Oryctolagus cuniculus: one gene and its partners. The protein of the gene in region 4 binds, or shares a complex with, the protein of the main gene of each other region. Links are inferred from orthologs where the notes say so. Each region holds a gene or a part of one and is shown on either strand. Other genes may lie near its edges.

Region 1 (4,789 bases), on a different chromosome or scaffold from region 4:
GTGAATCAAGATGCAATCAAATGGAAACCTAACACTTTCATTTTATCAAGAACTTAAAATCAAATCCATGCCAGTGTCTCACAGGCTGGCTTTCACCCTACCTCCTCCTGTAAGATGCAGATGACCCTACCGTCTTCATTTGCCCAACAAGGAAACAGACAGGGAGTTACCACTAATTTGTCCTTTAATCTTGGCACAAGTTACTTAAGCAAAAAGACAAGTCTCTAGACTCAGCCTTCACTTTTCTCTTTTAACCACGGCAACCATTAGTACTCAGCCTGAAGCTATCTACTCTGCTGTCAATAGGATCTTTATAAGTTTGAGAAAATGGCAGATGACATACACAATAAACTTTAAAAAAGTTCTTTCAATTCTGTGACTCACTTTAACAATAGGAACTGCTCAAGCTGTCTTAACTTGAACTCAAAAACACATTTTTCCCACACCTATTTTTGGTCTTTTGTCATTATTCACCTCCCTCAAGAGCTGTGAGTTCTTTCTGAATTCAGTTTTTGTACAATATTCTCTACCCCTTCCCTTACTGACTTCCCTAACTATGTCCTAGATCATGAGTCCTTATGGAATTGAGAGGGCCTGTGAATTCAAATAAAAACACACACACAAAAAACTGCATTTTAACTTTCACAGCTCTTAACTGAAATTTAGCACTTCCTTTTATTATATAATACAAACAATATATGTGCTAATGTTACATGATTTTTTTCACCAATGGAAATCAGGTATTTTGAAATCACATTATATTGGTTACAGATATTGAAAAACTTGCTTATACTCATCACTGCCACCAGATCTGTTGCTAGTTCCTGTTATTTAAAGTGCTAATATTACTACACTTAAAATTTATTTTAGAAATATTTTATGCCACACTTTACAATTTCAAAATTCTAACTTTAGATATTGTATTTTATATATTTAAAAATGTTATTCTGAGAAGGCTCCGTAAGATTCATTAAAAGGTCCAAGGCACATACAGTTTCTAGCCAAATGGAGCAACCCAAACAAAGGCTAATCCAATCATTTGGATCTGAATAGCTTTAGAATGAAACAAAGAACACTGGCATTTCTCCTTAAGGGTCTGCAAAAAGAAAATAAGATTTCAATTGACTTCTTCTCCTGAAATTCTCCTAAATAGATTTAACATTTTCATATTTTGATTCGTCAGTATGTGAAATAGCCAGAAGAAACATACTATGGTGATCACAAAATAAGTACTATAAACAAATAACACTTGCTTAATACTTGATATAGGGCAGGTACTCCTCTAAGCACTTTACCTATATTACGTCATTTAATACAATAACTCATAAAGTTAAAAAAAAAAGCTTCTATACCCATTTTAAAGATGAGAAACTGAGGCAGCTAGGTCACATACTTTGCTTAAGGTCAAGCAACCAGTTAGAGTGGGGATTTTAACCTAACATGTGGATCCAGCGTCTGTGCTCCTAACTGCAGCCTAATCTGCCGACAGAATTTTACGAAAACGAAGAAATAAAACTTGGTCTTCAAGACTTGGAATGAAGATAAAAAATGTTAGACCCAATTATGTAGTGAGACTGGGGAGAACAAACAGAAATATACATATAGATATATTTAAAGTAATATCAGACAAACTTTCCAGAAATTTTAAGTGCAAAACCCCATAAGCTGACAATCTCCAAGAAATCTTTCTTCTCTGCAGAAAGCAATCTTTCCCCCACCGTTTCCGTGAAAATCCTGGTCATGACACCATGCCATAAACACGCTTCAGTAGGCATTCACGCTGGGGAATTTAAGGACAGCGTGTGTGAGATACAACATTTATTCCTAAAGCAGGCCAAACTGAGAAATGCTCGCACCAGCTTTCTAAAACACGTTCAAGATTTTTTTTTTTTTTTAGATTCTCATTATTGGATTCGCACAGGACGGGAGCAGACACCAGGCGCTCTTAAACACTCATTCAAACTCCATTAACTCAAAGATCTACCCTTTGCATCCTGAAGATTCTACAGGGGTCAGAGCGACACAGTGCCCGAACTCCTTTGAAAGAGTTCTCGACTGCCCGCTCCTTCCCACTCTTAGGGAAAAAAAAAAAAGAAAATCTAGCACGCCTTTTAAACTACTGGAATCTCAGACCCGCACTCTTCCCTCTATCTCCCAAAGGCCCGAACACTTCCCCACAGGCAGAGGAGAGCTCTCGGACCCATGCTCTCACTTAAGCCACTCTCCTTGGCCAACTTTCTGCCTGCTCTCGGCCGCGGCTCAAAATCCCCGCCAGACACAGGTTCGACTTCGCCCGCACGCCCTCCCCATCCCGGGCACGGGGTGACACCTCTCGCTCTACCCCCTCCCCGCCCCAGCGCCGGCCCCCCCATCCCGCACCCGCAGTTTTTAAAGAATCTAAAAACTCCCACTCCGCAGAGTCCCGTGGCTGCTCCGGGCCGCACTCACATTTTCGTCTCCAGAGAGGTCCGGGTTGCTGTTCTCGTCGCTGCTCAGCTTCTGCTTCTTGGCCGCAGGCATGTCTGTTCCCGCCGGCGCTGTCGACACTTCCCTCTCGGACATATTCCTCCGCCTCCCCCCAGGTTCCTGCCGCCTCGGGCGGGGCCTCCGCCACACCGCCGTCAAGCAAGCCCGTCCGGAGCTTGCCGCAAAGTTGCCACTGCCGCCGCCACCTCCACCGCTCCCCCCAGTGTCGCAAATCGCGCCCAGCCGCCGAGGCGGGCGTGCGTGCGACCCCGCCACACTGCTGAAAAAGGGGCGCGCGCGCGCGCCCTCCTGCGCGGCTTTCTGGCTCCTTCCCTTTCCCGACTCCCGTTTTGCCCTTTTCCCGCCGCCCCCCCGGCAGTTTGCACGGAGATGTAGGATCCGTTGGCTTAAGAGGGTAGTATTTCGTATGTCTCCCGTCCCCACCACCACCTCGAAAAGAACAGGCAGAACTCAAAAGGGATGCTCCGTCACCCCCTTCCTCCTTCCAGAGACGTTTCAGCCGCAATTGGCCCAATCCTTCGATCTCCGACTCGCTGCAAAGGGAGCGAAAGTCTGTGGATGGAGTAGACCACCGGTGTCCCAGGGGACGGGGGAAGCTTTGCTAAGTCACCTCTTGCTTAAGCTCTGCGTGCCAAGAGTCTTTAAACCTGAACTCGGGAGGTGACGACTTCACGAGATTCACGAGATTATGCCAACGTAACTTTTGCTTGAGGATGGGAATTTAAAAACCGTAGACTGAGTCGCACTTGCTTCCCCCATCTGGCAAATGGAAGGCACCCACCTGGAGGTGCGCACGCGCCGAGGCGTATTCTCGCGCTGGGTTGTGGGGGTCCCTCCTCCTCCAGGCCCCTCCTCTTTTCGAAATCTTGTTTGCTGAACCTGGTAGTTTTCTACTGCGTGTGCATAGCCAGGGATGGATTTCAAAGCGCTACCAATCATCGTCTCAGGACGCACCCTAAATTCTTGACGGATGTTTGGTCTGATGAATATTTATTGCAATAATTTTTTTAACCTCAACCGGTTGTGGCCAATATTGGCTAAGGTTTAAGTAGAAGTGTGCTAAAATTACAGACCCTTGAACAGCTACAACTCAAGTGCTCTTTTTAAACAAGGCCCTGAAAAACTCAAAGGCCTATAAATCGGTGGATAGTTCCAACTATGAACCCGTGAGACTTAAGCGACAGGCAAATAACAATACAATTTTAGTACTTCACCAAAATAGTTTCTGTTACTTACATCTGCACTCTTGACAGGTGCAGAATACATTGGTGAGTCTTGTTGATTTGTCAGATGGGTCATCAAGCCGTACAACTGAAGGAAACGCAGCCTCCTTTGTTTTAGAACACAGTTGTGAGTGCTGGTATTTCTGGACCTCAGTGTCCTCATCTGTAAATGCGTGGAAGTGAGAAGGAACCCAGCATACCTTGAGCACCTGCCTGATATGTTTTCTCTTTTGGATCTCGTCGTAAGACACAAGGGATAACCAGTCTAGTGTCGCAGCCATAAAATTGTAGTATACTTGAATTACTTCTGCAAGATGATTTGACAGTGAGAAGATCTGTTTTACTCTCTGCAGATTGCAAGTCATTCCTCCTTTTGAAGTTAGCAGAGAATTCTTGGTTGAGAATGAAAAAAGGAAAGTGAAGCAAAGAGAGGGCAGAGTAAGACATATTTACAATAAAGATTCAGGAAAAATATGGACGCTGAAAAAGTCCAGGTCTTACTAATTGCAGTATTTGTGGAACACTCTCAATGTGCCAGGCACTGCTAAGCACTCCTCAGGTGTGGGGGAGAGATGTGACAGATGAGTCAGCTATGAGAAAGGTAAGATGTGCTTCAGTGTGACACCTTTTTGGGCAAAGACAGATACTCTGTTTTATTGAGAAAGCTGTTTGTGAAATATAACTCTACAAGGAACGGATAATCAGCTAACACATTTCAGATTGCTGCGTGGGTCCAGTGGGATGTGGGAGTCAGCTTCTAGTCATAACATGGAGTAAGTGCTGACCATTTGGATAAAGGGTACATGAAAAGAAAATAACCCAAAGATATTCAGCACTCATGTTATCTGTAACAAAGCAAAAATGTTTTTAAAGAGTCTTATTAAAACTAGGAGGGATTTTTTATATGTTCTGATACGTTTGGGATGGATGAATGATGGAAATTAGTTCATATTCATTATAACTAATGTTAAAGATAAATTATTCTGATACTTCCTTCAGGACTATTTTGAAAGAGACCAAGATTGTAGGGGAGAGAAATTGGGCTCAGCTCCTCCAAACACAACAAATACAAGTGGGGA
Region 2 (4,753 bases), on a different chromosome or scaffold from region 4:
TTATTTTTCTTTATAATCACTGCTTCTCAGAAATGGAGGAAAAATATTTTCCAAAGTTCTCTATAACACAAATATATCCTGATTGCTTTGCAAGTTCCTCTGTCAAATGATTTCCCTATATTTTCCATATTCTCTTAATTCGTTCAATTATTAAAGTCCGTGTTTTCTAGCAACTGCCAACGTAAGTGCTAGGTATATATTAAGAAAAATAAGAGAGCCTCTGCCTCCAGGCAGTTAGAATGCAGTGAAGGAGCCCAATGCATAAACAAGTGATTACAATACAATTTGATACATACTGTAATAACAGTATGAACAAAGACTTCTGAGAACACAAGAGTGCCTGGAAATTGCGGGAGGGCCTCTGGAAGGTAAAGTTCATCATCTGATCAGGAACCATTCTCTGAATTTAACAAATTGCTTGTCTCCACTTATGCTCTCATTCAAACTAATGGTTTCACCAATCCATAGAGAATTCGTCATCATTTACAAAAAATGTATTCATCAACAATACACGCATAAAGACTTCAAGGATAACTCATATATCATTTCTCAGTGACCCCCAAATTCATTGTATGATCAACCGAGTTGTCAGTTTTTTAAAAGAAGCAGGCCAACTTTCTTACTCATGGCTCATTTAAAGGTTAATAATAAATTAAATTTACATCCCTTGAGAATGCCACTTCAAAGGATAAAAGATATCCTGGAAAAACTCCAGTGTGACCTAGAGAAATCTGCCTTAAAATTTTTAAATGGCCAAAACAGACCATCATTTATATGTACACGTGCAAGCAAAGCCAATATTAAAGTATTTTTGTTTTATCTAACTACACTAAATCAACAAGTGCTTTTTATATTGCTACTTAAACTAAGTAATTCTAAATTAAAAGATTCATAAAGCTTTCAAAAATAATTTAAAACAAAGTTTAAACCAATTTCTCAGACTTTTTTAAAAAATATCTATGGCAAGTACAGATAGTGATTATCAAATACAGAATACACAAGGGCAAAATTAGAATTTCTTATCCTAAAATACCAAAATTTCTGCCAAAAATCTGCACAACTAGCTCATAACAAAATACCCAAGGTTACTACTATTTTTAAATACATAATTGTCAGCAAATAACATGGACGTAAATGTGATTTCATAATGTCAACCCTTAGAGTAGCACCTGGAATGTGTTGCTCAGTGATGTCCAAAACGCTGCAAAATAGATGTAACACAAAATTTTAGACTGTATTTGTCTCCATGTCTCTAAAACCACAAGTTAGTAGATGCTTATTTGACCTTCAGATAGAACACTATGTGATCAGAAGATAGCCTATGTTTTTCTAACTTCCTTTCTTGGAACATATTCACTTTCTACAAAAGTCAGAATTTAAAAGAGCAATTTTCTCTAAACATTACATTCCCCAACACACCTCCAAAAATGGAGAATAGAATTCTTTATATCTAGAGTAGAACAGACTAGAATCCTGTATGCCTAATTTTAAGGGGATTATGTACAGGAAATTAAAATATGCCCTAAATATTTTTTATTTTCTTGCAAATAAAATTAAATAAACCAGTTAAGACTATATACTTGTTCTGCATTCTTCTAAGTGCTCAATAACAAAGAGTAATAGAAAATAAACTCCAAAACCCACGTATTGACAACACTCCACTATTCCAGAATTAGTCATTTTTAAAGGTTTAAGTGCTATGTTATGTGACATTAAAACATCATAAAATTAAACCTAACTTCTTGAAACCTAGAAAGTAAACCTCATAGTAAAACACTTTAAATAAAGATTCTTATTTCCAAATGAATCTAAATTTCACAGATCCTGGGTGAAAAACAAAGGAATTTTAGGTTAACTGTGGGCAGCATACATTCAATTTTTCAAGCAACGAACACTTCTGCATCCAGTCTTTTCAGACTCACCAAAGCTATTGTTCAGGGAAAGCAAGACCAACTAGTAAGAAACTGCTAACCCTAGAGCCTAAACACATATTCGGAATGGGCATTTTATCTGGATCACCTATTTCTACCATCAAATCTTCATTCAACCCCTCGGGATTGGGAAATAATCGCCGACTAAATGACAGTTGACTTCGTTAGCACCTGTCGCCAGTCCCAGATGTACCACACAAGTTAGTCAAAACAGCTTGTAATTTCTTAGGAAAAAAAAAAAAGAGTATGATTCTTTAAAAACTGGGAACTCACTATGCGTTCACCAAGTTTTCCGAAATCTCGCGCTTCGTGCGTCCTCCTATTTCCAAAAAGTCACCCCGCGGCAGAGCCGTGCTGCTGAGTGGAGGGGGTCGCACAATGAAGCGGGAACTCCACAGAACGGCCTCGGGGCGAACAAAACCCGCGGGGCGGACGCCAGCTCCGCGCTGCCCTCAAACTTCACGCGCAGCCCGGCGGGGAGGCGCCCCCAGCCCGGGTCTGCGGCGGACGCGGGGTCTCCGGGAGACGTCAGACGCCCAGCTCCTCCGGAGTTCCCACGTCGCGGCCGCTGCCCGGAGCCGGCGCGGGGCGGGACCGAGCCCTGCCCACCCGCGCCCGCGGCGCCCCGCGCCCCCACGCGCCCGCGGCCGGGGACCCCCGCGTCCTGCCCTGCCCTCACGCCGAGCTCTCCGGAGACACAGTCCGTCCTTTGTCTGAGTGCGGACTCGCGGCTCGCTCCCACCAACTTGTGTGTGTCCCGTCCCACCCGGGCGCTCCCGCGGCCCCGCCACACAAAGGAGACCTGAAGCTCGGGGCGACCACCCGGACCGGGCACCGGAACGCCCCCGGCCCCGGCGCCCCGGCGCGGGCAGCCCCGGCGCCGGGAACCCCCCGCCCCGCGCACGCCTCGGCTCCCTCCTCGCATCTCCGGGGAGGGTCCGCGCTGCCCCGCTCGCGGGGTCGCGCGGGCCGGCCCGCCCCTCACACGGTCCCCCCAGAGGGGTCTCCCCTCTCCCCTCCCCCGCGCCCGCGCGAGCGGCGACCGGGGAAGCCCCGCTCGGACGATACCGGGGACCGGCAAGGAAGCGGCGGGCAGGTCCCCGCGTCGCCGCCGCCCTGGGTCGCACTCCCGGAACCCCGCCGGCCGAGCTGCCGACAGCGCGCGTTACCTTCGTCCCGCGCGCCAACCCGCACCGCTCCCGCGCACCGCCCCCGCGCGCCGCCGCCGCCGCCGCCGCCGGGGCTCCACTGCCTTCTGTGTCCCACTGGGTGTCGGACGCGACCGGACCGAGCGCCAAACGCGACAGCCCAATCGCCATCGCTTTTATTTGGCCCCCCCAGTCCAATCAAGCGCCGCCCCGATTGGCGGGATGCGAGGCGGGCGCTCGTCCAATCACAGGGCCTGCCGGGCTCGGAGGCGCCGAGCGAGCCCCACGCAGAGCGCGCTCGGGACTCGCGGGCCGGCGGGCGCGCGGGTGCGCGTGCGCGCGAGCGGCGGGGCCCGGCCTGAGGGACGCGGCTCACCGTGTGGAAGCGCTGCCGCCGCCGCCGCCGCCGCCGTCTCTTTGTTCTTTGGCTGAACGCTCGGCGCCTCTCGGGAAAGCGGTGGGCACGGAAGGCGGGGACGGGGCAACTCTGTGGGGGCCCGGAGGCCGCCGCCGGCAGAAGGCGGGAAGGGTGGGGTGGCGGGAACCGGCTGGAGGGCGGGGCTACGCGCTCGCGGCTCTTGGCGGGAACCGGCGCCGTGGAGTTCCCGGCGGGGGAGGGGCGGGCGGCGAGAGCCAAGTTTGAACCAATTCAAAACTCGGGGGCGGTAACGGTTTTAACTGCCGCGCCGATTTCCCCGCGCGCGGCGCGCGGAGCGGAGCGGGGTTGCGGCGCCGAGTTTACGGGCGGACCTGCCGCGCGGCCTCGGTCTCGGGTGCCCCGCACGCCCGCCCCCCGGGAGAGCCGTCACTTTTACTTCGGTCTGAGGCGGCCGCTTTCCCGCCCGCACTCGGCTGGACTGAAGCCGGCAGAGCCTGCGGTGCCTACCCGTAGAAACCTGGGGCCGAGAGGCCGGACGGTTAGGGCCCCTTTGTCGTGGAAAGCGCCCCTCTCGGACCCTTCCTGGTGATTGTCGTTCCAAGCACGTGCCAGCGTTAAAATGTGTTTATTCAGGCTGCGTGCGGTTCACGTGCCTCACGCTACGTCTCTGCAGAGTATTAAAGCGATGGCAGCGTCTTGGGGTGGTTAGAAAGTGATGGGGGGGGGGGGTGTTAACCTGCCTCAAAGGCGTCAGAGATAAACTGCTTAGGGTACAATCTCTCCTGTGCCTTATCTGGCGACGAAGTTAAAAGTATTCCAAAGTTGTTTTCCATATGATGCATCTGTAGGGCAAAATACCCTTTTTCACTGGGATCCCACATTGGGAGATCAGGCTGGGAATTTTTAAAAGGTCAACTATGGACTGTTGGGTAAAAAGCCTAAAAAAATGTTTTATGAATTAATTTTGTAAGTTAGCCCATGATTTTCCCATCTTTGCTAAATCAACATCTAATTCCTCATATATTCTGAACCAATTAAGTGCTGGAAAATATATGACAGGAAGCCAAAAGAGAAAAAAAGCAATCATGTGCCCCCGTAAAAGCCAAATTACCTTACAAATAAATGTTGGAAAGAGTCCAGAAGTAGATGTTATGCCTCTTCAATGTGACTATAAAGTAGTGAACTCTGTTAATGTCACCAGTACATATCATTTTCCATGGTAAAATGTTCCCATCTAGACTTAACTATTTAAATCTCAAAAATTAACTACTTTTACCTAGATTGCTTATCAAATT
Region 3 (4,977 bases), on a different chromosome or scaffold from region 4:
ACAGCTAAATATTTCTCCCAAAAAAAATTCTACCTGTATTATAACCAACGTAGAAGTAAAATTGCATAACAATTTTAAGATTTTCTAAATTTACTAAAATAAACTTGCTTACAAACTTACACTGGTTTTGAATAACTTTCTCCTGGGGACAATGAGCAACTTTTTTGTGCCAAGTGTCATTCAATTTTATAAATCAGTTCCTTTTCATCACCCAACACTTCTAATACATGTTTGTAAATGACAAAGGTCACAAACTACTATCTAATTTTGTATTTAATCATTTTTAAAAGTAGTACTAAAAATAAAAAACACTTAGCTATGATTTCAACAAATTTTAAACCGTATCAGATAAATTCAAAAGTACAATATTATCTCAAAATGACAGAAAAACTAAATATGCATTCTAACGGTTTTGATAATGGAATTACTTTAACAAAAATACCTCAAATTTTTTAAAAAGCAACTTAAAACTAAAATATTCTATCAGTCACAAAAATAGACTTCCTACTATGAAAGCAACCTGTCAAATCAACAAACACTGCTGTAATCTCAAGGATAGTTTATAAAAATTATGGAGCCTTTCCAAACTTAAAATAACAGGGGAAAAAATTAAAGCTTGTTAACAAGGAAGTTATTTCAGAATTGAGATTATGAAGACAACAAAGCAGTTTCATAAGCAAGGCTTTCATACAGCTGACAATATCACCCTGAAACACAATTACTACATTCTGTAATCTCAAGAAAACCAATACGCTTATTTGGACCTATGAGACCAGTTTCTTAACTCCTTACTCTCAGAATTCTTGTATGATGAAAAATTACATCAAGTTCGAGTAAGTATAATAAATAGCAAATGAAGCCAAAACTCCACATCTTGAAATATTACTTGATCAATAATTCATGGTCTCCTGAAGGGATGTAGTGGACAGACTGTTAACTAAAGCAAAACAAAACTCTGACACACAACACTTGTTATTTAAGGTGAATTATCCTAATGCTTGTGAAATGAAAATCACAAGGGACTTGAGAACATGTGTTCAGATCCAGCTCCACCATTTCCACCTTACATTTACTCTTCTGAGTAAATCATTCAAGTTGCTTCTACATCTGTTAAATAGTAGTCAAAAATAACACCTATCCTAAGAAATTTTGAGAATGAAAGGAAGACATTTAAACCACGCACTGTTAGGCAGGCATGTGCCCGTGTGTACACTGGATTAGATGCTCACTGTATAAACTTAACACAAACTTTAAAATACACATTGATACTAATGGAAGAGGATATAGGAAAACAATAAATGGCAGATTCCTCACGGTTCAGTTTGCATCAACTGTTAAATTTTTATTAAAGATGTCCTCCTTCCTACCCATACCTATACAGTTCAGCACAATTTTCCTAAGGTCTGTGCAGTCTATTTTACTCCAGCCAGGATATTTTTCTAACTAGATGCTAAAAACAGAATTTAAGATTAATGTTCAACATATTCCAGCTCTTGTATTCCTAGAAGCATATAAATTTAAGTGTTCACTTTCATCAATTAAGAACCAAAATTCCTAAAACTTTAGAAAGAGCTTTTAAATCAAAATCACTACTGACTTAAAATTTCTGCGTGTCAAAACATTAGCATGGTCAAAATAATTACTATTCTACTTTAGAAGCAATATAAGCAAAAAGTGAGTTCCAAAAAAAGTACATCAAAACCCAACTAAAGTTTTCCAGAGATCGAAAATAAAGGTAGCAACAATCGAAAAATAAACTGAAATAAATTCCTTAAATGTCCCTAAAAAAGGGGGGGCATATTGTTGTTAAGTCTCTAACGATCTTTAGGAAAGTAACACTAATTCCTTCAGAGACCTCCCCGATACAAGACTTTAAATATCTAAAAATCACTGCATTGCTACATAATTAAGATTTTAAGCCACACACTAATGCTGTACCGCTGATTCCAACTCTCTAATTCTGCAAAGTTATTTTAAAGGAAATCAATCCACTACTCTTTCCCACAATGATTTTATACTTGTTTTAAACTTTTTCCCCGGTTTGATAACAAAACAAACAGGAGAAAAGACTAAAATCACGCTGGAGACCACATTCCCGATTAGCAACGAGGGATTGGGGAAAGCAATCGTTAAAGATAAAAGAATAGTCTTTTCTTTTTCTCTTCTTTTTTAAAGTAGAGCCAAGTGCCAGCCGGGGTCTCCTGGCTGGACAAGGAAGTTCTGCCGAACCCGGGCGAGACCAGCCATGTTGGAGAAGCGCTTGTCAACCGGGGTGACAAGTGCTGCCCAGCACGGCCCGACGAGGCTGACCTTGCCGGCCCGGCGCGCCTCCGGGCCCTCTTCGGTTCCGCCCGCCGCCCCGGGCCCGGCCGGGGGTCGCCTCCGAGGGAGAGCCGCGCTCAGGTCCGAGCGCCGCGGCGAGCCGAGGGAAGAGGGCGGGGAAAGCGCGGAGTCGGGGGGAGACGGCTGCAGAGTTGGAGCCGCTCGCCGCGGCGAGGAGAGGGGCGCGGCGCCGCGCGGCGTCGGCGGCCGCCAGGGATTTCCGAGACCAGAACCTGGGGGAGGGGCCGCGAATTCGGGGTCCGGAGGTGAGAGGGCGCCCGCCGAGGGGCCCGGGAGTTGCAGCGGGGGAAGGGAAGGGGCCGCGGCGGGGCACTGACCTGTCCTCCGAGTCCATGCGGCTCAGAGGCTCCCCGTCCGACGACATCTCCAGGCTGCCTCGCCGGCCCCCGGAGGTCGCGCTGCTTCCGCCTCCCCCGGTCCCGTAGCCCTCGTCGCCGCCGCTGGAGACGACGCTGCTGCTACTGCTGCCGCCCCCGCCGCCGCCCTGGCTGCCCCGCAGTCCCTTGGGCTCCTCCAGGCCCTCCTTGCCGTCCCCATCCCCGCTGCTGCTGCTGGCGGCACCGGGGCTCAGCGAGCGCGTCTCGTCGCTGCTGCTCCCGCCGCTGCTGCCCACCAGGCTCTCGGCGCTGCTCTCCTCCTCGCCCCCGCCGCTGCTGCTGCTCTCGTCCTCCTCCTCCTCCTCCTCGTCCTCCTCGTCCTCGTCCTCCCCAGCCTGGCTGGCGCTCTCGGGGCTCGGCTCCGACATCGTCTCCGCCTCGCCGCCCCCCACTCCGCCGCCGCCGCCCCCGCCGCCGCCGTTCAGCAGCAGCGCCGCCACCGCCTCGGCCTCGACCTCCTCCTCCTCCTCCTCGTCCTCCTCCTCCTCCTCGGGGGGCTCAGCCCGGCCCCGCGCCGCCGGCCCTGGGCTGCCGGGGGGCAGAGGGCTCAGGCGGGAGAGCTCCTCCAGGTCGGCCATGTCGGTGATAGCGGCGGCCATGGCGGCGCCTGCTCCTCCTCCTCCTCCTCCTCCTCCTCCTCCCCGCTGCCGCCGCCGCTGCCGCCGCCGCCTCCCTCTCTCGACTCGCGCTCGCTCGCTCGCCCCCTCCCCAACGCCCAAAACTCCGCGGCCGCCGCTGCAGAGCAGGAGGAGGGCTCGCGGGCTGCGTCAGCCTGCACACGCGCTACGGAGCCCGCGCGGGGACAGGCGCGCACTCACGCGGAGCCGGCTGCGCGCCTGCGCGGCGGCCCCAATGGCGCCGCCCCCGGCTCCGAGGGCCGCGCCCCCCGCGCGGGCCCGGCCGGCCGCTCGGAGTTTCCTGCGGGCCTTCCCACGCCCTCGCGGGCGTCGCGGCCAGCGGGACACGCGGCCGGAAAGCCCGGGACGCTGACCTGGGGATTCCGAGCGGACGCCCTGCGGGTTCCCACGACCCAGTCGGCGGCCCCGCGGGGATGTTCGGGGAGTGTCCCTGCGTGCGGACGCCGCGCCAGAAATCGGGCACGTTCTGGCCGCCTGAGCGCTTCCAGTCCGCGAGGACAGGCGCTGGCGAACATAAATACAAAATGATCAGCTAGGACGCAAGTCCGTTCTCCCGGGCAGAGCGCAGCCCAGCGCCGCCGGCCATAAGTGAACAAACTCAGCCGACGTCGCCGACTCGCGGTCGCCACACTGGAGCACCTGAGCCCCGAGCGCCTCCTCGGCCCGGCAGGTGCCTCCTAGTGCGGTCTACACTGAGGTCGCCTTCCGTTCCGGCTTGTCCCTAAGTGTCCCCTCTGCCACGCTTTTTTAAACACAGCCAACGGACTCTACATACCTCAGGGGTCTGGTCTGCAGCGAAGGCAACCCCTTTTTATTTAAAGGGCAGAGTTCACGGAGCTCTTCCTCCCGCTGGTTCGCTCTGCAAATGGCCGCGACGGCTAGGGCCGGCCCGGAGCCACGCGCTGCATCCGGGTCTCCCGCGTGCGTGCAGGGGCCCGAGCTCTGGGGCGCGCGCTGCTTTCCCAGGAGTCTTAGCAGGAAGCTGGATCCGAAGTGGAGCAGCCGGGACGCCAAGCGGCCAGGCGCTGTATTGCAGGCCGAGGCTTTACCGGCGGTATCACAAGGCCAGCGCCTTTTATATGTGAACCATTAACGTGATTCCTTCACTTTCTAGGACTCTTATTGCGTCCCACCTCACCTCCAGAATTTTATCCTAAAAATATATTTTATACTTAAACTGTTGTATTGATCACTTTACCAAGTTTGCTGGTCATAAAAATGTGTGTATGAATTGAAATTTGCAGGTTATTTTTTACATTTTATGCTATCATAAAGGTTTACGTCTCCAACAACATCTTATTTCAGTGGATCAAAACATAGTTTAAGTAATTGAAAATAATAGCAAAAAAAAAAACTACTGAAATGCATCTCATAGAGATGTAGTTGTATGGATTTGTTTCCAATTAGTCTGTCAGTGGGTGTTAACTATAATGAGAACAAGCTCGGAGTCAATTCTATTACAAGTTTTCAATTCCATAAATATCAGCATTGAGAAAACTTGTTCGAAGAAATAAGCAGGGGCCAGCGCTGTGGCACAGTGGGTGAAGCAGCCGCCTGAAGTGCCAGCATCCCATGTGGGCGCCAGTTCAAGTCCCGGCTGCCCTTCTTCCAATCCAGTT
Region 4 (4,968 bases):
TCAGCATTTGGATCTCAGAATGAGCAAGGAAAGACCCAAGAGGAATATCATCCAGAAGAAATACGTAAGTGCTCCTAACAACACAGCCTCTGGCTTGCAGTTTTAAGCAATGGCTGTGAATGTCAAGTTTATAGATAATTCTGCAGCTGAAGGGCTTTAAACACAGCGTCCGAGAAGGCTGTTTTCTTTCTTTTCTGAAAGGGCTTCTCAGGCAAAGTCGTGTCTGCCTAGTTTGGCTGAAAAGCCAGATTGGTGTACGATATCTCGAGTGAATAAATTGACCTCGAATGACACAACCATAATCTAGTTTTAGATTGAAAGGCAAGGGGTTTTGGTGGAGCTTGGGGGTGGTGGTGGGGGTGCTGCGGTAAGGTAACTAAACTGCATTCTCCGGTGGATTTGGCCCCATATTGCACTTTGCACATGGAGATGAGGCCATGTTATTATTATTAATGCTATTTGGAAAATCGCGTAAGGCATGTGTGTTGGAAGCCCTTTTAAGTTCAATCGAGGGTCCGATTATGGCGATCTTCTCTCTGTACTGGTACATCGCATTTAATGTATGTGGTCGTTTTGGCTTATCTGGTTTGCAACATGAACCGGTTGGGAATCGTGTTACAGCATATGCATTTGTTGGAATTGACTTTAATAATGAGGCTGGTTTTGTTTAAAAAATTCATGGTTTCCAGTTTTAGGGGAAAAAGACACACACGCTGGCTAATGTTTTCAAGTATGTATGTTAATGCACATGGAAGTGACCACAAATAATTTTCCCCTGCTAACTGGGTTTGTGAAATTGGGCGATTATTCAGAGATTTGAATGGTTTGGGATAGTTGAATTTGTTTTGTGCATAGTACAGCTACATTTTGATTGGCATAGGGAGTGTTTTTGTTTTGTGTGTGGTGGCTTTTTTTTAAGTTTGGGGGGGAGGAATGAGGGGGACCGAGGGATTAACCAAATATGCACTGGAGTGATCGGTGATTAGCTAGCTGCATGCTTTAAAGGGCTTTAAAAAAAAAGGCCAAATGAACACATATTAGAAATATGTAGGATTATAAGAAAGTTTTATTTAAGTCGAGTGAACAAATTGGTGTTAGCATTTTCCCTTTCTCATCGGTGTGGTGTGTGTAATGGGAGATGACCTTCGGGGAAGTGGTTCTGTACAAAATATATTTAATGGAAAAGCTGAATGTGTCTTCTGGAGGCTGATGCTAATCTAGACACGTAAACTTCAACTAGGAAAGAAAGCAAGGTTCAATAATCGAGCCTAACTTAGAAAGCTGTTCCACAAAGAATTTAGGAATTAAAATACATCCGCATTGCAGAGGGCTGGGTGGAATGCAAAGGACTAGTTTAAACTCGGGCCGTAGAAACTGCATGGAGACAGCTTGCCTGAGCGTGGACGCCTTCTCGGGGCACGTCCGTTTCGGATGCAGGCACAAAGCAGACGGGGTAGAACTTGGACAAGAGCCGCCCCCGCCTCCCCATCCCGGACCTCGTCAAGTTGCAGCGCGGCATGGGCCGGGTTTTTGTTGCAGGCGGTCCGCTGGTGGTGTCGAGGCCGGGTGTCCAGCCGCCGGCCCGGAGGCAGAGCACGGGTTAACGTGCCCGGAGCGTAGCCTGTCCTCCCGACGGGCCCGAGCCGGCAGCGGAAGGAGGGCGCCCCGGGGTCGCGGCGGGCAGGCGGGCGCGCGGCCTGTAGGGGGCAGGCTCTGGGCTCCGGGCTCTGGGCTCCGGGCAGGCGGGCGCCGGGCTCCCAGGCCGGCTCGCGGGCGGGCAGGCGGGCGGGGGCGAGCACGGCGGGGGCGTGCCGGGGCGGGGGCGCGCGGCGCGCAGGCAGAGCATGGCGGCGCGGCCGGCCTCGCCCGCTCCCCGCGGCCCTGCCCGCCGGCTCCGACGCAGGCTTCGGAGCAACAGGTTCAGCGGGAGAGACGTCGGCGCGGCCCCTCGCCAGGCCCCGACCCTCCCCGCGCCGCGCTCCCGTGCCGCCGGCCCCTCCCTCCGCCCCCCGCGGCTCCAGGCCCCCTGCCGCTCCCGGCCGCGTTCTGTTGTCATTGTGACGTCACAAAGGGTCGGGCCCGGGTGGAAACGTCCCCTCCACCGTGACGTCACAAGTCGGACAGGAGGTTCCAGGCGCCGCGGGGCTGCCGAGGGAGGGGAGAGCGGGGCGGGGGCTGCGGCGGCGCGGGGCTGCGGCGCGAGAGGAGGACGAGCAGGAGGATGCGCTGGGCCTTTGCGTTCTGCCGTGGATCGCTGCACTTCCCACCAGGTGAGCACAGGAGCCTCGACCCTCCGGAGGGTGCCCGAGGACCTTGCTCTGAGGCCACTTGGGTTGGGAGCGGGTCGGGGCGCCGCCTCCGCAGGAATGTCTCCTTTCCTCTGTACCAGTGCCCCTGATGGGTGTTGCGGTCCTGCTGAGCTCCTGCGCCACTCACCAGTGCTAGTGGAAAGGAAGGCGATTGAATTCAGCGGAAGCTTTGCTTTGTTGGCAGCCCATCTGGTGGATTCAGCCACTTTATCACTTTCTGTTGTGTGGGGGTGTGTTGGTAGGATTCGTCCTTTCTGGAAGACTTGCAAGTACCAGGGTTGAGATCTCTGTCTTGCCGTGCCTACTGAGTAATTTTGAGGGGCTAAGCTAGGGAAGACTTGTACATCTACGTAGAGGCACAGTGCGCCTCTAAGTTGTATGGTGTCTGGACGTAGTGCTTCTGCGCAGGGGCGAGGCTCACATTCTGGGTCTGCCTTCTCCTCTGGAAACTGGAAAACATCGTCTCTGCCTTTGCCGCTTGCAAGGCACCGAGAGGATCACCAGTGTGAGACATGTAACACAGGACGCCGCTTCATGTGTAAGATGGCATTATGGCATTGTGACTTGAGCTGGTGGAAGACAGCACATTGCCTACAGTTGATCTCAGAAGCCTTAGATGCCTGCCAAGTTGCCATTTAGTTTATTGCTTTAGGAAAGAAGAATTTGGGGGTATGATTGTGATGGTAGGCTTCGGGAGAAGTGATTGTTATATTTCTTATTAAGTGGCATCCATGAGAAACTCATAAATTGCAGGGTAATCCTGTCTTAATTGTGTTGGGCACGACTCCCACTACAGTACCTTAAATAACTGGAGACATTTGCCTTTTAAAGTCCCAATTCACTTGCATAATAAAAACAGTTGCATATTTTGCTCTGTGGATCATTTCTGTCTCTCCACTGATTGGTTTTCCTGGGGAGAATAACAGTATAACCAAACTTCACAATCATTTGATCGTTGCATTATAATAGGAGTTTAAAATAATAATAAAGAAAATCTGCCCCATGAAGAGAATACAGTTAAACATGGAACTAACTTGGAAAAAAAAATGACCGATTTGATTTCTAGGCCAGCTCAAGCAGAATTTGTACCACTAAACTGCAAGTTTTAAGTATTGTTTTCTGATGTACAAGTGGAGTTTGATTAAAAAAACCAGAGAAAGTTTGCCATGAGGTACAAAAGACATATTTATTTGCTGCAATTACATAAAGTTGGAAAAAACAAGAAAGAATTACATTGAAATATAGTGGTCAGGTTTATGAGTTCAGTTTTTGTTTGCTTATTCTTTTTTCCCAGTTTTTTTTTTTTTTTAAGGTTTTATTTATTTATATGACATGTAGAGTTACAGACAGTGAGAGAGGTCTTCCTTTCGTTGGTTCACTCCCCAAGTGGCCGCAATGGCCAGAGCTGTGCCCATCCGAAGCCAGGAGCTGGGAGCCAAGCACTTGGGCCATCCCCCACTGCCCTTCCAGGCCACAGCAGAGAGCTGGACTGGAAGAGGAGCAGCCAAGACCAGAACTGGCGCCCATATGGGGTGCCGGCCCCTCTCCCAGTTTTAAACACATGTACATTTGGGTTATTCTGTAGTTATTTACTTGCTACCTCTTCCACTTTCTAATAGAAAGTCTTGAACTTCGTCGCAAGTCTAGGACAGACAATTCAGCAACCGTCTCTGTATAGAGAGTACTGAAGGTAATAAAATGTCACAAAAATTTTAAAATTAGAAATAAATTCATGTCCATAAAAATACAACTTGGTTATTAGCCCTTGGATGATTGACTTGTGGGTCTTCATAGCCACTGACCCAGATAGCCAATTGGAGTTATTTGGTACCTATAGAAGGTATAGTGGGTGTTTTTCCTGCACTGTAGGTTAAACCAGTCCCTGTTACTGGCTGAAGGCCATTGACTTGCTTCCAGGTGTCTTGGAAATAACCCCAACTAAAGTGTTACTATATCCTGCTCCAAAGGTCGTTTAAACTTTGGTTTTTCATAAAGAGATCTTTTCTAGTAAATAACTGGTATCTGTGACATTCAGAGTAGAACCAGTTTCCTCTTTTCCTTTCAAAGAAGACTGGGAAATTCATCCTACATTGAAAACATTTGGTAAAAGGGTAAATTGTAGTATTTTTAAGCTAGTGGTTTGTACTTGATCATGATGGTCATGTCCTAAAGCTCCTAATATTACTGGTACAAGTCTCAGTTTCACAGTAACAGCTAACCACCATCTCCCTCTATGTAACCTGCTAGCCTTTGGCTGCAGAATGTCCTGGGTGGCTGATAACCCTGCCTGAAGCTCTTGGCCAGTGGTTAGCTCTGGGGTGTGCCTTTGTCCCCTTTGGCTTTCACCCAGAAGGCTTGCCAAGTGTCAGTTGTTTGTTCCCAAATCTGGTTATTCCAGTTGGGCTTATTATTGTAATTACAGTTAAATATTATGTAAGCCTTGAAATTAGTGTGAAGAGTTGGTTTCTGTGAAAACTAAGTTGACTGTTTTGAGGAAGATGATACAAGTTGGTAAAAAAAAAAAAAAGGCTGTTCAATTAAGTATGGGCCAGACATTTAAAAAGATGTTGGGAAAAATATGTATGGATTCTTCATACACAGTGTTTTACAAGTGATTCCCTTTTAAGAACCAATTATGCCCAGATTCCTTTCCTAGCAA

The links.
Region 1: the proteins of JARID2 (region 4) and EED are in contact, whole or in part, in a cryo-EM structure (PDB 6C23), measured with the Homo sapiens proteins. The link is inferred for Oryctolagus cuniculus from reciprocal best matches to the Homo sapiens genes JARID2 and EED. Residues at the interface, in NP_004964.2 of Homo sapiens: Pro109, Gln114, Arg115, Lys116, Phe117; in NP_003788.2 of Homo sapiens: Pro95, Phe97, Tyr148, Arg306, Asn307, Tyr308, Cys324, Asp362, Ile363, Trp364, Tyr365, Arg414, Asp430.
Region 2: the proteins of JARID2 (region 4) and EZH2 are in contact, whole or in part, in a cryo-EM structure (PDB 8VNZ), measured with the Homo sapiens proteins. The link is inferred for Oryctolagus cuniculus from reciprocal best matches to the Homo sapiens genes JARID2 and EZH2. Residues at the interface, in NP_004964.2 of Homo sapiens: Arg108, Pro109, Arg110, Leu111, Ala113, Gln114, Arg115, Lys116, Thr154; in NP_001190176.1 of Homo sapiens: Arg78, Ile131, Pro132, Tyr133, Asp136, Ile146, Lys156, Val157, Asp160, Arg161.
Region 3: the proteins of JARID2 (region 4) and AEBP2 are in contact, whole or in part, in a cryo-EM structure (PDB 8VNZ), measured with the Homo sapiens proteins. The link is inferred for Oryctolagus cuniculus from reciprocal best matches to the Homo sapiens genes JARID2 and AEBP2. Residues at the interface, in NP_004964.2 of Homo sapiens: Ser148, Lys151, Pro152, Lys153, Thr154, Glu155, Asp156, Leu158, Thr159; in NP_001107648.1 of Homo sapiens: Arg407, Ala410, Ile411, Asn414, Leu415, Glu420, Ser421.

Annotation. Positions count from the first base shown.
Region 1 is NC_091432.1:77,386,726-77,391,514, reverse strand, and holds the start of EED (polycomb protein EED), read right to left. Parts: upstream 3,348-4,789; 5' UTR 2,563-3,347; coding exon 2,449-2,562; intron 1-2,448. UniProt on the Homo sapiens protein: Polycomb group (PcG) protein. Component of the PRC2/EED-EZH2 complex, which methylates 'Lys-9' and 'Lys-27' of histone H3, leading to transcriptional repression of the affected target gene.
Region 2 is NC_091434.1:174,689,362-174,694,114, reverse strand, and holds the start of EZH2 (histone-lysine N-methyltransferase EZH2), read right to left. Parts: upstream 3,268-4,753; 5' UTR 3,251-3,267; coding exon 3,000-3,250; intron 2,535-2,999; exon of another isoform or gene 2,205-2,534; intron 1-2,204. UniProt on the Homo sapiens protein: Polycomb group (PcG) protein. Catalytic subunit of the PRC2/EED-EZH2 complex, which methylates 'Lys-9' (H3K9me) and 'Lys-27' (H3K27me) of histone H3, leading to transcriptional repression of the affected target gene.
Region 3 is NC_091440.1:117,093,438-117,098,414, reverse strand, and holds the start of AEBP2 (zinc finger protein AEBP2), read right to left. Parts: upstream 3,527-4,977; 5' UTR 3,320-3,526; coding exon 2,661-3,319; intron 1-2,660. UniProt on the Homo sapiens protein: Acts as an accessory subunit for the core Polycomb repressive complex 2 (PRC2), which mediates histone H3K27 (H3K27me3) trimethylation on chromatin leading to transcriptional repression of the affected target gene.
Region 4 is NC_091436.1:155,486,179-155,491,146, reverse strand, and holds the start of JARID2 (protein Jumonji), read left to right. Parts: upstream 1-1,837; 5' UTR 1,838-1,844; coding exon 1,845-2,270; intron 2,271-4,968.